Linked DNA regions of Rattus norvegicus. The protein of the gene in region 1 purifies or fractionates together with the protein of each later gene. This does not show direct contact. Links are inferred from orthologs where the notes say so. Each region holds a gene or a part of one and is shown on either strand. Other genes may lie near its edges. The genes, in order: Tsc22d4 and Nrbp2.

Region 1 (7,046 bases):
TCAACCACCTCCTGTCCTCAGTCAACCTCCCTCAGCTCTTTTTCAGACCATAAAGCTGAATGAAGAAAGTCTAACTCTGGAGGCAGGGAAATAGTGACAGTTACAGGCACACAGGAAATGATCGAGGCCGATTGGGAGGAAGGAAGGGGGGGCGCTGGGGACACTGTGGGGCAAGAAACAGGGTCTACAAACCCAAGATAGGCTTGGGCCGTGCCTGAGGAGAGCAGAGGGGCATCAAGATGGCTGAGGGAGTGGAGAGGCTTGCAGCCAAGTTTGGCAGCCTGAGCCCGAGTTTGATCCCACATGGTGGAAGTCACACAGCGGAAGGATTTGTCCTCTGACCTCCACATGCACACCAAGACATGCACAGGCCTGCAACACATTCACGCACACAAATTAAAGGAATAAATTTAACAAAAGTAGAGCAAAGAGTCATTGAGGAACTTGTCCCGGAGAGTCTGGAGTCTGGGGACAAGAAACGATAGCTTATCCAGGAGGCTAGAGTTTAAAAAAAAAAAAAAAAAAAAAAAAACAAACAAACAAAAAAAAAAAAAAAAACACGAGAAAGATGGGAAATTTGGGCCATGAAATGGGGAGCTGAAGGCCAGGAGAGGGTGGGAGAGCTGGTCCTGACCAGTTCTAACAGGGCTCAAAGGCTTAAGATATTTTTACACTGTGGTTTGAGCCCATGGCCAGTAAGAGACAGAACCCTCATCCTCACTCCCTGCTTTCCCTGTGGCAGCCAAGATGTTATTTTCTCCACAGCAGAAACATCCAACTCTCCAATCTCTAAGTACCCAACCTTCAACACACACACACACATACACACACACACTGACACACACACACACTGAGACACACACACAGACACACACACACACACTGAGACACACACACAGACACACACTGGCACACAGACACACAAACACACTGGCACACAGACACACACACAGACACATACCCACTGACACACACAGACACACACACAGACACACACACACACTGAACACACACACATAGACAGACACAGACACTGACACACACACACACACACACACACACATAGACAAATAGACAAACACACAAACACACACACACACACACCAGGCACATAGGCATCCTGCCCCCAGCCCAGACTTGTGGGTAGCTTCCTCTTTTGGAGACAGGAAACAGAAAGTGCAGAGGATTTAACTCCTTCCCAACTGCTTCCTTACCTCCCACTCAATGGTCGATGAGGTCACCCCATCCCACACTCCAGAAGCCCAGGTCTAGGGTACTAAAACCAACCAAGGGTGATATGCCCCACCCCCTACCCCAATTCCTCAGAGAAACTGGTTTGCAGTAAGGCTGAAAATGGGGCTGGGCTGGTAGCTGTTGGTTAGAATAAAGACCCAGAGGAATGCCTACCTTTTATGGCTGCCCCAAACCCCTGCCAGCTCCTCCCCTCCAGGGCCTAGCCAGCCACCAGGCTGGAACCTCCACCCTCATCACCTGGAGCCAGAGAAGGTAAAGGCTGAAGTGGGCAGGCCACATCGGCCACAGGTTTTATGGAAACAGTCAGGGCCAAGGGCAACAGTGTGAAGGCCACAGAGGAAGGAGAGAAAAGAAAAAAAGACGGAAAGGGGAAAAGGAAGGAAGGAGGAAGGAAGGTGTAAATGTGTGCAGAGTAATGAAGGCCTGGGACAGAAAAAGAAAGGATTCACAGTTCAAACTGTAAAAAGGGAAAAGGGGACTTTATGCTCTACCCAATAGGCAGCCAATATAGGGGATTGGGGGGGGAGACGGAAGTTGAGGTGGGGAGGCCCAGGATATAGGTCAGACGACTGAGTACAGTAGGTCTTGCCCCGCCCCCCATGAGCCCATCTCTTACCTTCCCTGTCTCCTCTGGAGCAACTAACTCCATCCTCAGCCGAACTGCTCCATCTCTTCTCCGTGACAGAGGAGGGGTTCCGGCTGCTAAACCCCCAGACTCCACTTCTACCCTCAGGGAGGGCAGGGTTTGAGCACTATCTCCAGTCCCAGGCCCTGGGGGGCGCTGCTGGGGTGGAGAGGCTGACAGCGGGGGCGTCTCCACCTTAGCCTTGCCAGGTCCTGCCAGCTGGCCCAGCCCCCCTGTGAAGGATCGAGCCTGTGGTCCAGGAGAAGTAGGGGGCGGGCGGAGCCAAGAGGTGGGGCCCTGAGACAGGCCTGGCTGAGGGATAGGGGTGCTTATGCCCAAGCTAGCCAGCTCCAACCTAGAATCCAATGATCTGCCTCCGGTGCCTCCTGAGGCCCCTCGAATTCCCTCCAGAAGCCGACCGAAGCTCGGGGGCTCCAGGTCTCTCTCGTAAACATCCACACACGTCCACCGACCTCGTCGATAAGGCTCTCCTAAACCTTGGGGCAGCTTCACCACCCGGAAACGGGAGGCAGGGGCTCCAGGTGGCGGAGAGCCATTCCGGGGGGTGCCCCTGCCCCCTGGATCAGGGTTGGGTTCCCCGTTGGGGAGGCGGGGCGGGGGCCCAGCGGGAGCCGGAGGGGCAGGGGGGTCCGAAGCCCCTGGGCTTCCTGGGCCCTCATAGTCCGTGGTGACGCTGGTGATCTGAAAACTACTTTTCTTCTTACCACCACTCATGGTCCCTAGGGCTCCGGACTGGGCTGGGGTGGGGGAGGGGCTGGGCTCCTGAAGAGGGGCTCAGGCACCTCTGGAACAAGGGGGCCACATGGCAGGGACATCAGGGCCCCTGGGGACGTCTGGGTCCGTCATGGCAGGAGGGCCTTGTGGGAACTTGGGGGTGCCTGGTTAGTGACTGGAGAGGGGAGGTGGCAGGAGGGGGGGGGGGGGGAGCAGAGGCAGGTTTTTCCTGCTGCTGTCGCTGCTGAAACCCCAGAGCTGAGCTTGCAAACTGGAAAAAGAAAGAGACAGAAAGTGAGCGAGAGTGTGTGTACGTGAGCAAAAGAAAAAGCAGGGGCCAAACCACCTCCGGGGCTTCCTCTCGGGGGAGCCGACTGGGGGGAGGAAGAAGAAAGCCACTAGAGACCCAGAGACAAGTAGAAATGACAGACCGGAGCGGAGGGGACAGAATTCAAAGCACCCAGAACAGGAAGAAGCAGCTGGGACCCAAAGTTGAACATTTCATGCTTGAAATCCAAAGTCGTCCCCAACACGTATCTCCAGGGCCAGGGGCAAAGGGGTGAACCGGCTCCTCCCCTGAAAGGGCCACCCTGAGGCCTCTGCTGGGCCTCAAGCCCACCCCACCCCCATTCCAGCTCCCCCATCGCTGGTTAGGCACTGCCCGCCAAGCCAAGCGCGCCCCGCCCAGCCCGAGAAAACTACCTACCTCTCGGGCCTCGGCCACCGAGCTGAGCTGGAGAGAGGACCTGGGGACTAAAGATGCCTTTTTTTTTTTTTTTTTTTTTAATCCTAAGGCGGCCTAGCGCAGGCCACGGCAGGCAGCAGTCAAGGGCTGCCCAGTGTTCTCTGGCGTCCGCATCTCACTCTGCGAGGCATCTCGGTGGAAAGTTTGCAGTTGAGACGAGAAGAAACCAGCGCTTCCACGGTGGAGCCCAGGCGCAGCCTCCGTTAACACTCCACGGGTCTTCTCTGTTGCTGTGGGAGGGGGCGGCTCAGCCCCCCGCTGACTCCAGTCCCTTGAGTGGCTCGCTCTCTCTCAAGGCTCCTCCCACGTGGCCCCACTGGATGTATCTCTCGGCTCCTCAGCTCCGCTCCGCTCCGTCTCAGTCTGGGTCTCGGGCTCTCTCTTTCTGGGCTGTTGACAACCCCCACACCAGGAAGTCCTGCCTTCTCGGGCCTGCTCACTGCTCCTCTCCTCCTCCTTCCCCTCTTCCTCCTCCCTCTTCCCTCCTCCCTCCTCCCTCCTCCCTCCTCCCTCCTGAGGCTCTCTGCCAGCTGGCCCGGAGCCAGGCCTGCCACAGCCGCAGCCGCAGCCGCAGCCGCAGCCTACAGTTGCAGCTGCTGCCGCCGCCGCTGCTGCTTCTGCTGCTGCTGCGGCCCCAAACTGGCTGCTTTAACCCTATACCTGCCAGGTTCAGGGCAACTCTTCCTCGGAAGGAGGGGCATGGAGGGCGGAGAGAAAAAGGAGGAGCCTGCGGGAGGCCAGGGATTCCCTTACTTGTGGGCTTTTGGTGCCATTGGGCTGCAGGCTTTCCAAAAGAGTCTCAAGGAACGTGCTGGACATGTTCTGGGTACCTGGCTGTTTATAAATACCTAGTAAGTGTGACCCACTGGCTGTGATTTGTCACGGCGTCTCTGGTTTTCACCGTAAGTTCACGAGAAACTCCCCCTCCCCACTCTGTTTTGAAAAATGAGCGGTTATGAAAATTTTCAAACATGCCCCAAAGTAGAGGAAATAGGATAATGAACGCCCACGCGCGCCATCATGGACTTGTAACAATTATCAGCTTTGCCCAATCGTGTTTTCGTCCCTCCAATATCTTTTCTCGGATTTTGCTGCAATATTTGGATCTCTCTCTCTCTCTCTCTCTCTCTCTCTCTCTCTCTCTCTTTCTCTCTGTGTGTGTGTGTGTGTGTGTGTGTGTGTGTGTATACATCTGGAGGTCAACTTGGAGGAGTTCGTTTTCTCTTCCACTAATAATGGGGGTCCTTTGCTGGTAAGGCCCTTTACCCACTGAGCCATCCTATCTATCATGCTCCTGTATTGGAAATCAAGCCTCTGATACGGTCTTTCCCTCTCTTAAAAGGGAAAATTGGAGAAGCAGACCATACAAGAAGGCTGTTGGTGGTAGGACACGTGTGTGTGTGTGTGTGTGTGTGTGTGTGTGTGTGTGTGGCATGTGTGCATATGCATGAGCGGTTGCAACACCTGTGTGTTTGTTAGTGAGAGGACCACACTGGGTGTCCTACTCAGGGTCTCTCATTGAACGCACAGCTTGGTAGGCATCCAGCAAACCCCAATAATCCTCCCATCTCTTCTCCACAGCACTGAGGTTATAGGCACACAGGGCTATGCCCCGGCTTCTCATGGGACTGCTGAAGATTTGAACTCAGATCCTCATGCTTGAGTAGCAAGGGCTTTTGCCTGCTGAGCCTCTCCTCAGCCCAGGATAGGCATTGCCACCTTCTCATCTCCGTCTTTATCTGTCCCTCACACAAACACTTAGGTAGACCTGAAGGTGAACTTGCTCACCTATGTTTCCCCACAGTGGCCGGACACACACCTATGTCCACAGGACTACCCCATAGGTATACCTGAGAACCAATCCCAGCAGGCATAGACTCTTCCCCATTTCCAACCCTTTCCCACCTGTCCCATACTATCACTTCATCATTATAGAGAATCCACACACATATAAAGGGTATATTCTGCGACTGGCAAGAAAAAAAAAAAAAACAAGCTACCAACTGCCATTTTTCTTTCTTGGCACTCAGAAGTGGCTTCTGGGCAAGAGTCTTCCAGCCAGAGCAGGATCTAAAGGCAGCATCTGTTGTCACTCATAGGTTTGGAAGGAGATAGGTTCTAATTAGTTTTATTCAAACAGAAGGGTTCTAGGTGGTTGTGGCAGTGTGCGTCCATGCCTATAATCCCAGATCATGGGGGATGGCATAGAAGTAGGAGGCTGAAGAGTTCAAGGCCATCCTCAGCTACATGAGATCCTATTTCAACAGCAACAGACAGACAGGAGGAAAAAAAAGAAGAAAGAACTGTTGGTTGGTCTGGGAATATAGTTTAGTAGAGTGCTTGCCTCATATAAATAAAGACCAGGGTTCCATCTCTAGCATCGGTAAACTACTGTAAATTACACACCTGTAATCCCAGCACTCTAGAGGGAAGGGTTATTCTTGGGACAGTGAATAAGAGGCTAGCCTGGGCTACATAAGATTCTGCCAAAAAAAAAAAAAAGTAGTTTTTTTTCTTTTCTTTCTTTTTCTTTTTCTTTTTCTTTTTTTTTTTTTTTTCCGGAGCTGGGGACCGAACCCAGGGCCGTGTGCTTGCTAGGCAAGCGCTCTACCACTGAACTAAATCCCCAACCCCAAAAAAGTAGTTTTAAGCCTTCACCTTTTCTCAAAGGGAAGAAAGATGGCATGAATGCAGATATTCAAAGAGGGAAATTGAGGCTCAGAAGCATTTCATTGTTTCTCTACAGCAGAATTCAGGTTTCTATGGGGATATCTAGACTCCTTGCTTTGACTCACATAATTTTTTTTTAAGACAAGGTCTTAATAGCCCAAGCTGGTAGCCAAGTAAATCCTGATTCTTCTTTCACACAACTGAGTCCAAGAATTACAAACGCAGCCGCCACACCTGACATTCATGGAAACTTCTCATCACCTTTCTTATCGTGGTAGACTCAGTGCTCGTGAGTTAACCTAGGCATGCTAGTTCAGTTCAACACTTCACTGTTGAGCTTCGGAACACACTGGCCTTGAACTCAGAGGTCTGCATGCCTCTGCCTTCCAAATGCTGACAAAAGGATGCCCCAATGTGCCCGTCTTACAGTTTATTTGGTGTGTGTGTGTGTGTGTGTGTGTGTGTGTGTGTGTGTGTGTGTGTGTGTGTTTGGTTGTGGGAATGTGCCCATTGGTGCAGGTGCCTGAGGCTGCTGGGCAATCTGATCCTCTGAAGCAGGTATTACAGGGAGTTGTGAGCCACTCAGTGTGGGCGCTGGGAGCTGAGCTCTAGTCTTCTGCAAAAGTAGTATGTGCTTGTTTTTAAGGATAGGTAAATGTTGGGGGGGGGATGGGTGACACACACCTTTTTTTTTTTTTTTTTTTTTGGTTCCTTTTTTCGGAGCTGGGGACCGAACCCAGGGCCTTGCGCTTCCTAGGCAAGCGCTCTACCATTGAGCTAAATCCCCAACCCCGACACACACCTTTAATCCCAGCACTCGGATAGCAGAAGTAGGCAGATCTTTGAATTCTAGGCTGGCCTGGTCTACAGAGTGTGTCCCAGGACAGTCTAGGCTACACAGAGAAACCCTGTACTGAAAAACGAAAATCAAACAAAAGCAATTCCTTCCCCTCTCTTGTCTATTTATTCTTTATCTCTTTGTTAAAATTCATCCAGCACTCAGGAGGCAGAGGCAGG
Region 2 (6,852 bases), on another chromosome or scaffold:
CCATAACCATCTGATAAATAAATGTAAAACAAGAGAAAACACAAATCCAACATCTCAATAATTTATCCAAGAAATGGAGAGAAATCAATAAACAATTCAAGAAAATGTCATCCCCCCTTTTTTTAACTGTAGCAGGTCATAGATAATTTCCAAAACACTAGGCAAAGAAAAGATGAGGAGAAACAGAAGAGCTCTTACACAAAAGGTCAGAATCCAGAAGCCTGGCAATTCCAGGAACTAGAAGAATGTAACATGACACCCTTAAGTCCCGAGGAGAGAGGGTTTTCAGCTAAACAAATGTCTTGTACCTCCTTACATTTTCAAACGCCTAAGATTCCAATAAGGATAAACAGGTCAATTCCATAATTTCCCATCCGCTTTTCTGTTCCTTTTCCTGTGGGGTAAATGAAGAGGAATGCACAGGAGCCAGAGAGAAGAGAGAGGCATGCAGATCCTGGTGCAGGGCAACGCACACCAAGAACCGAACCACAACACAAGAACAAGCAGCAGGCTCGGTCACTGTGCTGGGTCCTAAATACTGAGAGGAGCCCAAAGACAATGGCAAACACATAACAGAGGAGCAGAGCTGGGGAGTGGCTCGGCAGTTAAGGGGGCTTGCCACCAAGCCTGATAATCTGGGTTAAATCCCTGAGTCCACATAGTCGGGGGGGGGGGGGGGGAACCTAACTCCTTCAGGTTGCTGACTGACCTCCTCATGAGCTGTGGCACAACACACACACACACACACACACACACACACACACACACACCCCATTTAAAAGAACTAAAAAGGAAAATTATTAACTTCAGAGAAAACAAAAAAAATTGTGCAATAGGCAAAATACAATGTAGGACAGGTTGTTCTCTGCTAAAACCTACACTGATGGAACGGTAATACTCATCGGTGATGCCCATCAAACTGGGCTGATGCTGGGACAGAAGGTTGGCAGGTGACTAGCCCTAAAGACTGCCACGAGGAGACACCTACCATATAAAACCCACTAAACAGGACTAAAAGCATGCTTGTGCTTGTGGCTGGGCACAGTGGCACTTGCCTTTCATTCCAGCACTATGTGAATCTGAAGCAAGCCTGGTCTATGAAGTGAGTTCCAGGCCGTGACAGCTATTCCTGGTTGTCAACCCGACTACATCTGGAATGAATTACAATCCAGAAATGGAGGTTACAACTGTGATCCAGATCTTGAGACTGGAAGACACAGGCTTCCGACCCGGACCTTGGCATGGAGATCTTGAGGCATAGTGGTCATGAAAAGCTTAGGCCCAGGCAAGCTAATGTATACTTTTAATCCCAGGAGACTGAGGCAAGCAGACCTCTGAGTTCAAGACCAGCATGGGATAAAGCAAGGCCAGCACATCTGTTGGAACCTACTTCTTCAGGAATCCATCTTATACAGAAGAGCAGCTGAAACTAGCCTTGTGGGTCTGAGCAACTACTAGATTCTTGGACTTCCCATTCATAGGTGGCCACTGTTGGGTACTACAGACTAAGTCATTGCAATAAATTCCCTTACTATATAGAGACATTCCATAAGTTCTGTGACTCTAGAGAACGCTGACTAATACACAGGCTGAGGCTATGAGATTTGAATTTGTGTTAAATCAGGGTAGAAGATTACTCACTGTTGACCTTGCCTGGCAAGTCAACTTTTAAAACACTATGTTTGCAGTAAGGCACAGTGGCTTATACCTATAATCACAGCACCGGCCTGGTCTGGATTCTGAATTCCAGGCAAATAGGGCTGTATCCTAATGATAAGCTGAACAGCCGGATGGTGGCTCGTGCCTTTAATCCCAGCACTTGAGAGGCAGAGGCAGGCAGATGTCTGAGTTCAAGGTCAACCTTGTCTACATAGTGAGTTCCAGGACAGCTAGGGCTACACAGAGAAACCCTATCATGAAAAAATCAAAACCAAACCAAAAAAATGCTAAAGTACAGCACTGGTGCTTACAAGTTCAGTTTAATTATCTGTACAATCTGTTGTGGATTTTAAAAATAGACTATGTCAGACCATGCACAATGAGAGTTCATTTAATTTATTAAATGTCCCATGACAACTTTGCTTAATATAGGTTTTGGTTTGGGCTAAGGTGGCATGGAAGGCAACATAGTAACGACATCCACCATCCACGTCTACTCTCTAAGCACCAAGACCCAGGATGATTAGTCTCCAGAGCAAAAGGTACTGTGCAGATGTGGTTAATCTACAGACCCTGAGAAGGATATCATCCCAGGTTACCCAGGTGGGTCCAACCAACTCACAAAAGGCCCCGAAACTCCCCAGCAGTGGAGAACCAGACAGTTAGTCCATGACAAGATTCAACTTGATGCTGCTGGTCTTGAAGGGGATAGAAGAAGAGCTAAGAAAAATTGGTGGCCTCTAGAAGCTGAGAAGGGCTCTTAGTTGGCAGCTGTAAGAAAACAGGAATTTCTACCTTACCATCGTAGGGAAGTGAATTCTGCCAATAGCTTGAAGGAGCAGGAGGTGAGCCCCAACTTCCAGAAAGGAACTTAGCCTGGGTCTTAATCTAGTATTAAACTTTTGATGTACAGAACTGTATGTGTGTTGTCTCAAACCACTGGGTCTATGATATGTGTTAACAGCAGCAATGTGGAACTATTAATAGTACAGTAGTGAGCCTTCCTGGTTTCACACGTGAAGGTTTCAAAAGGAACGTGGAGGCATTACATTTATATACACATTTAAAAACGTTTAAGACCTTAAATTTGAAGTTGGAAGAGAGGAGGCGGTTCAAGAACCAAGAAATCAGGGTGGTTCTGAGGGGAAGAATTTACCAGGACTCTGAAATCAGCAAGAATGAGAGACAAGTTGGGTTAAGGAGAAAGAGGAACCCACATCCTCAGACTCAAACACATTGACTTCCCCGGGGAGGGGATGCAGTGGACGCCTGACCTCTGAGCCCTTAGGCCAGAGGGTTGATGAACAGAAAGATCCTACCCAAGGGCTTTGTGGAGGACACAGGTCCTGGTCTCAAATGTGTGAAAGATCAGAGAGACGGCTCAAGGCAGGTCTGCAAGGCAATCGGGACTGGTCTGAGCGGTGACCATGGAATTTCCTGGCCACAGGTCTAATCCAAGCTCTCTAATCTATGAGTCTCCAATCAGGTCAGGTTTGGTCTGCCTGATGCCCAGCACTGTGTCTGACACCTGAAGGGCCCTATTACTTTTGAGACCAGGCTCCTTCCTAGGTTTCTGCCACCTGAAGGCATGGCTGTTGTCCAGTACCAGATAGAGTGTGGGTCCCCTAACTGACCTGTATCCACTCCCATCCAGGCTCAGGGCTCCATCACCACCCCAGGGTCCCACACTGCTGCAGAAAGCTGTGGGGGAGGGGTCTTCACTAGCAAGACCTGTATTCAGTTCCAGGGAACACAGGCAGAAGGCAGCTTTGAGCAGTGTGGGGCTCTTTGACAAGTGGACAACCCTGAGTCCTGGTATCTCTGCTGGGCTGTCAGGACTGGAAAGGTCACGCTTGTGTCCCACGGTACTTGAGAAAAGTGGTCTCCAGAAAGGCTGCTAGCTTTGTCCGGTCATCCTGCAGTGGAGGGGGTGGGGAAGCACGGTAGTACTGGGCAGCTCGGCAGACTGCACCTTTCCAAACCCGAGGCGCACCCGCCCACCTCGTGCAGGAAGCCATAGTGCACTAGTTCGGCGGCGAGGTCCTGGGCACTGTCGGCTGAAGAGAGAACACAGGACAAGTGAGTTGTGGCACTAGCCGGTGCCTGAGCCCCAGCCCACCACCTGATCCCCTACCAGCCTACTTGGGAGCAGATCATAGGTCAGCTGCCGATGTAACCGGTCCTCAAGCACCAAAAGCAGAGTAAGCTGTCGACGGAAGGGCGTGGTCAGGGCGGTGCCAGAGTTGATTGGTCCCCGTCTTTCCTAGTCCCACCCAGGGCCCTTGCTCACGTGCCACCGAGCCTTGTCCTCGCTTCTTTCCAGGTTGCACTGCATCTGGACCACCTGTGGCAGGGGAAGTGTATTAGCCACAGAGTATTATTTAACAAAGGAGCCCAGAAGGATCAGCAGAGACCCAAAAAATGGTAGACATCTCCAAGGGAAGTCCGGAAAACACATCTTACTGCACCATCCCTGAGGTATTAGGGAAGGCTTCCAAGAGTAGTAGCCTTCTGTTGGGTACTGAATGATGAATACAATGCCAGAGGGAGAGAGGGACAGAAGGAGAGACAGAGACAGACACACAGAGAGAGGCAGAGACAAAGAGAGAGACAGAAACAGACAGCGAGACAGAGACAGAGAAAGAGAACTGTGGAAAGCAAGGAAATGCTGTGTCTCAGGGTGCAACAGTACAGAAAAATGGGGTGCCACCAGGAGCAGGACAGGGGACTGAGGCTGATTTCTTTTCTTTTTCTTTTTCTTTTCTTTTCTTTTTTTTTTTTTTTTTTTTTGGTTCTTTTTTTCGGAGCTGGGGACCCAACCCAGGGCCTTACGCTTCCTAGGCAAGCGCTCTACCACTGAGCTAAATCCCCAACCCCCTGAGGCTGATTTCTACTAGCTCTCTGTGCAGCTGGGATCCAGGACATGTAGACGACTGGCATTTGAATTTAGTGTGTGCTGAGGAAGGATGGAAGCTAGGATGGGGGAGATCAGAGTGATGGCTCTGGATCCAGATGGGGAATGGAGGTGGCCAAAAGCCTATGGAAGAGACCACGCAATGGGATGGGGAAGGACTGTAAAAGCAAGAAGCCTCTGGGGAAAAATGGTCAGCTTGGATTTGGTCTCTGGAAGCCTGGGGGAGAATTGGGATGGACAGAGACAGGTCCCCAGAGGCACCCATTCCCTGGTTGTGGTTAACTCTGAGAAACAGCATAGTACAGCAGGAGTTGGGACTCACCTTCCTGGTCTCCGAGTCAAAGGGTTCTGGGGTTGGAGTTTTGGCCTTTTGGGCCTCCTCTGGGGGTGGGGCCAACACACGAGGAAGTCCCAAGGGCCGAGCAGCAGCGAAATTCATGAGTGGATAGATGCCATTCCTGGAGATAGACAGGGGGTAGGTAGGTGGGGACTCGGGTCTGATAGTGTTTTTTCTTCACTGTCATGCCAGCTCTCACCTGACATCCTCTAGGAATTTGTCCAGCTCCAAGAAGGAAACCTCTGAGTACCTGGGATGGTATGGAAGAGGTGTCATAAGACATAAGAGGCATCAAGCCAAAGCCTAGCCAAGCAGTTAGGAGGGGAAGCCTCATTTGCCACCACTCACCGCCACTGCATTGGGGGTCCATGGGGCTGGGGCATCTCAGCCAACACTGCATGGAGGTCCATGGCCTTGGTCTTTTCCTCTACCACATTCTCAGGCATGAGGTCTGTGAACCACAGAAATGCCCATGGGGATGGACCCAACCTAAGGGTCCTGCAAAGACCCTTCCATGATCTGACCCCAGGATCCTGGTCCACCCCGGCCCTTCTGCCCCTCACACTGGTGCTGGATGAAACAGTGGGCTGCCAGCAGCTTCAGCGAGTGCACCTCAAAGAGCACTCGGTGGAAGAGGAGGTTGTGGGCTGAGGGTCGGCGGGCAGGGTCCCGGGCCAGGCAGGAGAGGATGAATTCCTAGGTTGTGGGGAAGAAAGGTAGTGGTGGGTGGAAAATCCTCGCTCTAGAGGAGATCTTTCAAGACCCTAGACCCCACGGGTCCAATCATTGCATCCTCCCACCTCCACAATGATGTCCTCCATCATGCCTGCCTGAGAAGGCATCCCATTAGCAGCTCAGGATCTGATTCTGTAAACTTGAGGGCAGGAAGGCCTTGGGCTCCAAACACCCATGCCCTACTTCCATTCACCCTCTTGAAATTCCGTGAGCTCCTAGAAGAGTCTTCCTTTGAGGTGACCTCAGTCCGCCAGCTACGCTTTCAGATGCTAACACTTTCAAATGTACTGACCAGACTACACCTCTAGCCTACCTAGAGGGCTTCAAGGGCAAGCCCAAGACCTGCAGCCAGTCCTAGAGGGGTTAAGCTGCTCACCCGCATGTTGGGGTCACTCAGCGAGTGCCTGGCCCGAGCAATAGCTTCTTCTGTGACTCGGGTATCCCCGTTGGCTTGGATCTCCAAGACCGCCATCTGGGTGCAGGGCACAAATTGGAAATGGTGAGATGGAGTAGAGCCAAAGCAGAGGCTATGAGGAGAGTGAACAGTACCTCCAGTGCACACATCCCAAAGGAGAAGATGTCCACAGCAGTCCCATCGTTGACCTCTGAAATGGGAAAAACAAGGCAGAGTTGATTGGACATTCTGATGTGCCAGCAGGTCAGATGGAAAGCGGCTTTAGGACTCACCGCCATACTCTGGTGGGAAAAAGTGCAGGTTTCGGAGCTCCTCCCGTTCAGTTCTTATAGGGCTCCGGAGATCGTCAGGAAGTGCTAAGAAAAAGTGTGATGCTGAGCAGACCAGTTTCTCCACAGCTCCCACACCCCAGAGACCCCACACACCATTGGAGAAGATGCGGTACCACACTGCAACGGCCGACGCAGAGAGAAAGAGAGGGCGTCAGTGGGGCCAGGAGACTGGGCAGTCTCTGTCCTGGGCTCCCGCTGGTTCCCCACCCCTGCCCCCTGCCCCGCCCCGCCTCGCCAGCACCAGAGCCGATCTTGATGAGGCCATTGTGCTGAATGAAGATCGTGTCGCTGGTCAGGTTTCCGTGGATGATGGGGGGACTGCAGGCGTGCAAAAAACTGCAAGCATAGAGGAAGGGAGGCAGGAAAAACCGGGTCAGAGCGCACCGGAAAGAAAGGTGAAGGAAGAGCAGGGGGCAAGTGCGTGGGCAAGCCAGGCTCTCACCTGAGTGCAGACAGGATC

The links.
Region 2: the proteins of Tsc22d4 (region 1) and Nrbp2 purify together in Homo sapiens (affinity purification with mass spectrometry; 3 studies listed by BioGRID and IntAct, counting the BioPlex papers as one, with this or other methods). This does not show direct contact. The link is inferred for Rattus norvegicus from reciprocal best matches to the Homo sapiens genes TSC22D4 and NRBP2.

The regions. Positions count from the first base shown.
Region 1 is NC_086030.1:24,585,010-24,592,055, forward strand, and holds the start of Tsc22d4 (TSC22 domain family protein 4), read right to left. Parts: upstream 3,798-7,046; 5' UTR 3,321-3,797; intron 2,886-3,320; 5' UTR 2,615-2,885; coding exon 1,871-2,614; intron 1-1,870.
Region 2 is NC_086025.1:109,677,367-109,684,218, forward strand, and holds the end of Nrbp2 (nuclear receptor-binding protein 2), read right to left. Parts: coding exon 6,835-6,852; intron 6,729-6,834; coding exon 6,634-6,728; intron 6,510-6,633; coding exon 6,486-6,509; intron 6,417-6,485; coding exon 6,333-6,416; intron 6,251-6,332; coding exon 6,195-6,250; intron 6,118-6,194; coding exon 6,022-6,117; intron 5,607-6,021; coding exon 5,474-5,606; intron 5,362-5,473; coding exon 5,259-5,361; intron 5,161-5,258; coding exon 5,110-5,160; intron 5,032-5,109; coding exon 4,896-5,031; intron 4,004-4,895; coding exon 3,950-4,003; intron 3,866-3,949; coding exon 3,802-3,865; intron 3,717-3,801; coding exon 3,661-3,716; coding exon of another isoform or gene 3,576-3,660; coding exon 3,507-3,575; 3' UTR 1,964-3,506; downstream 1-1,963. UniProt on the Homo sapiens protein: May regulate apoptosis of neural progenitor cells during their differentiation.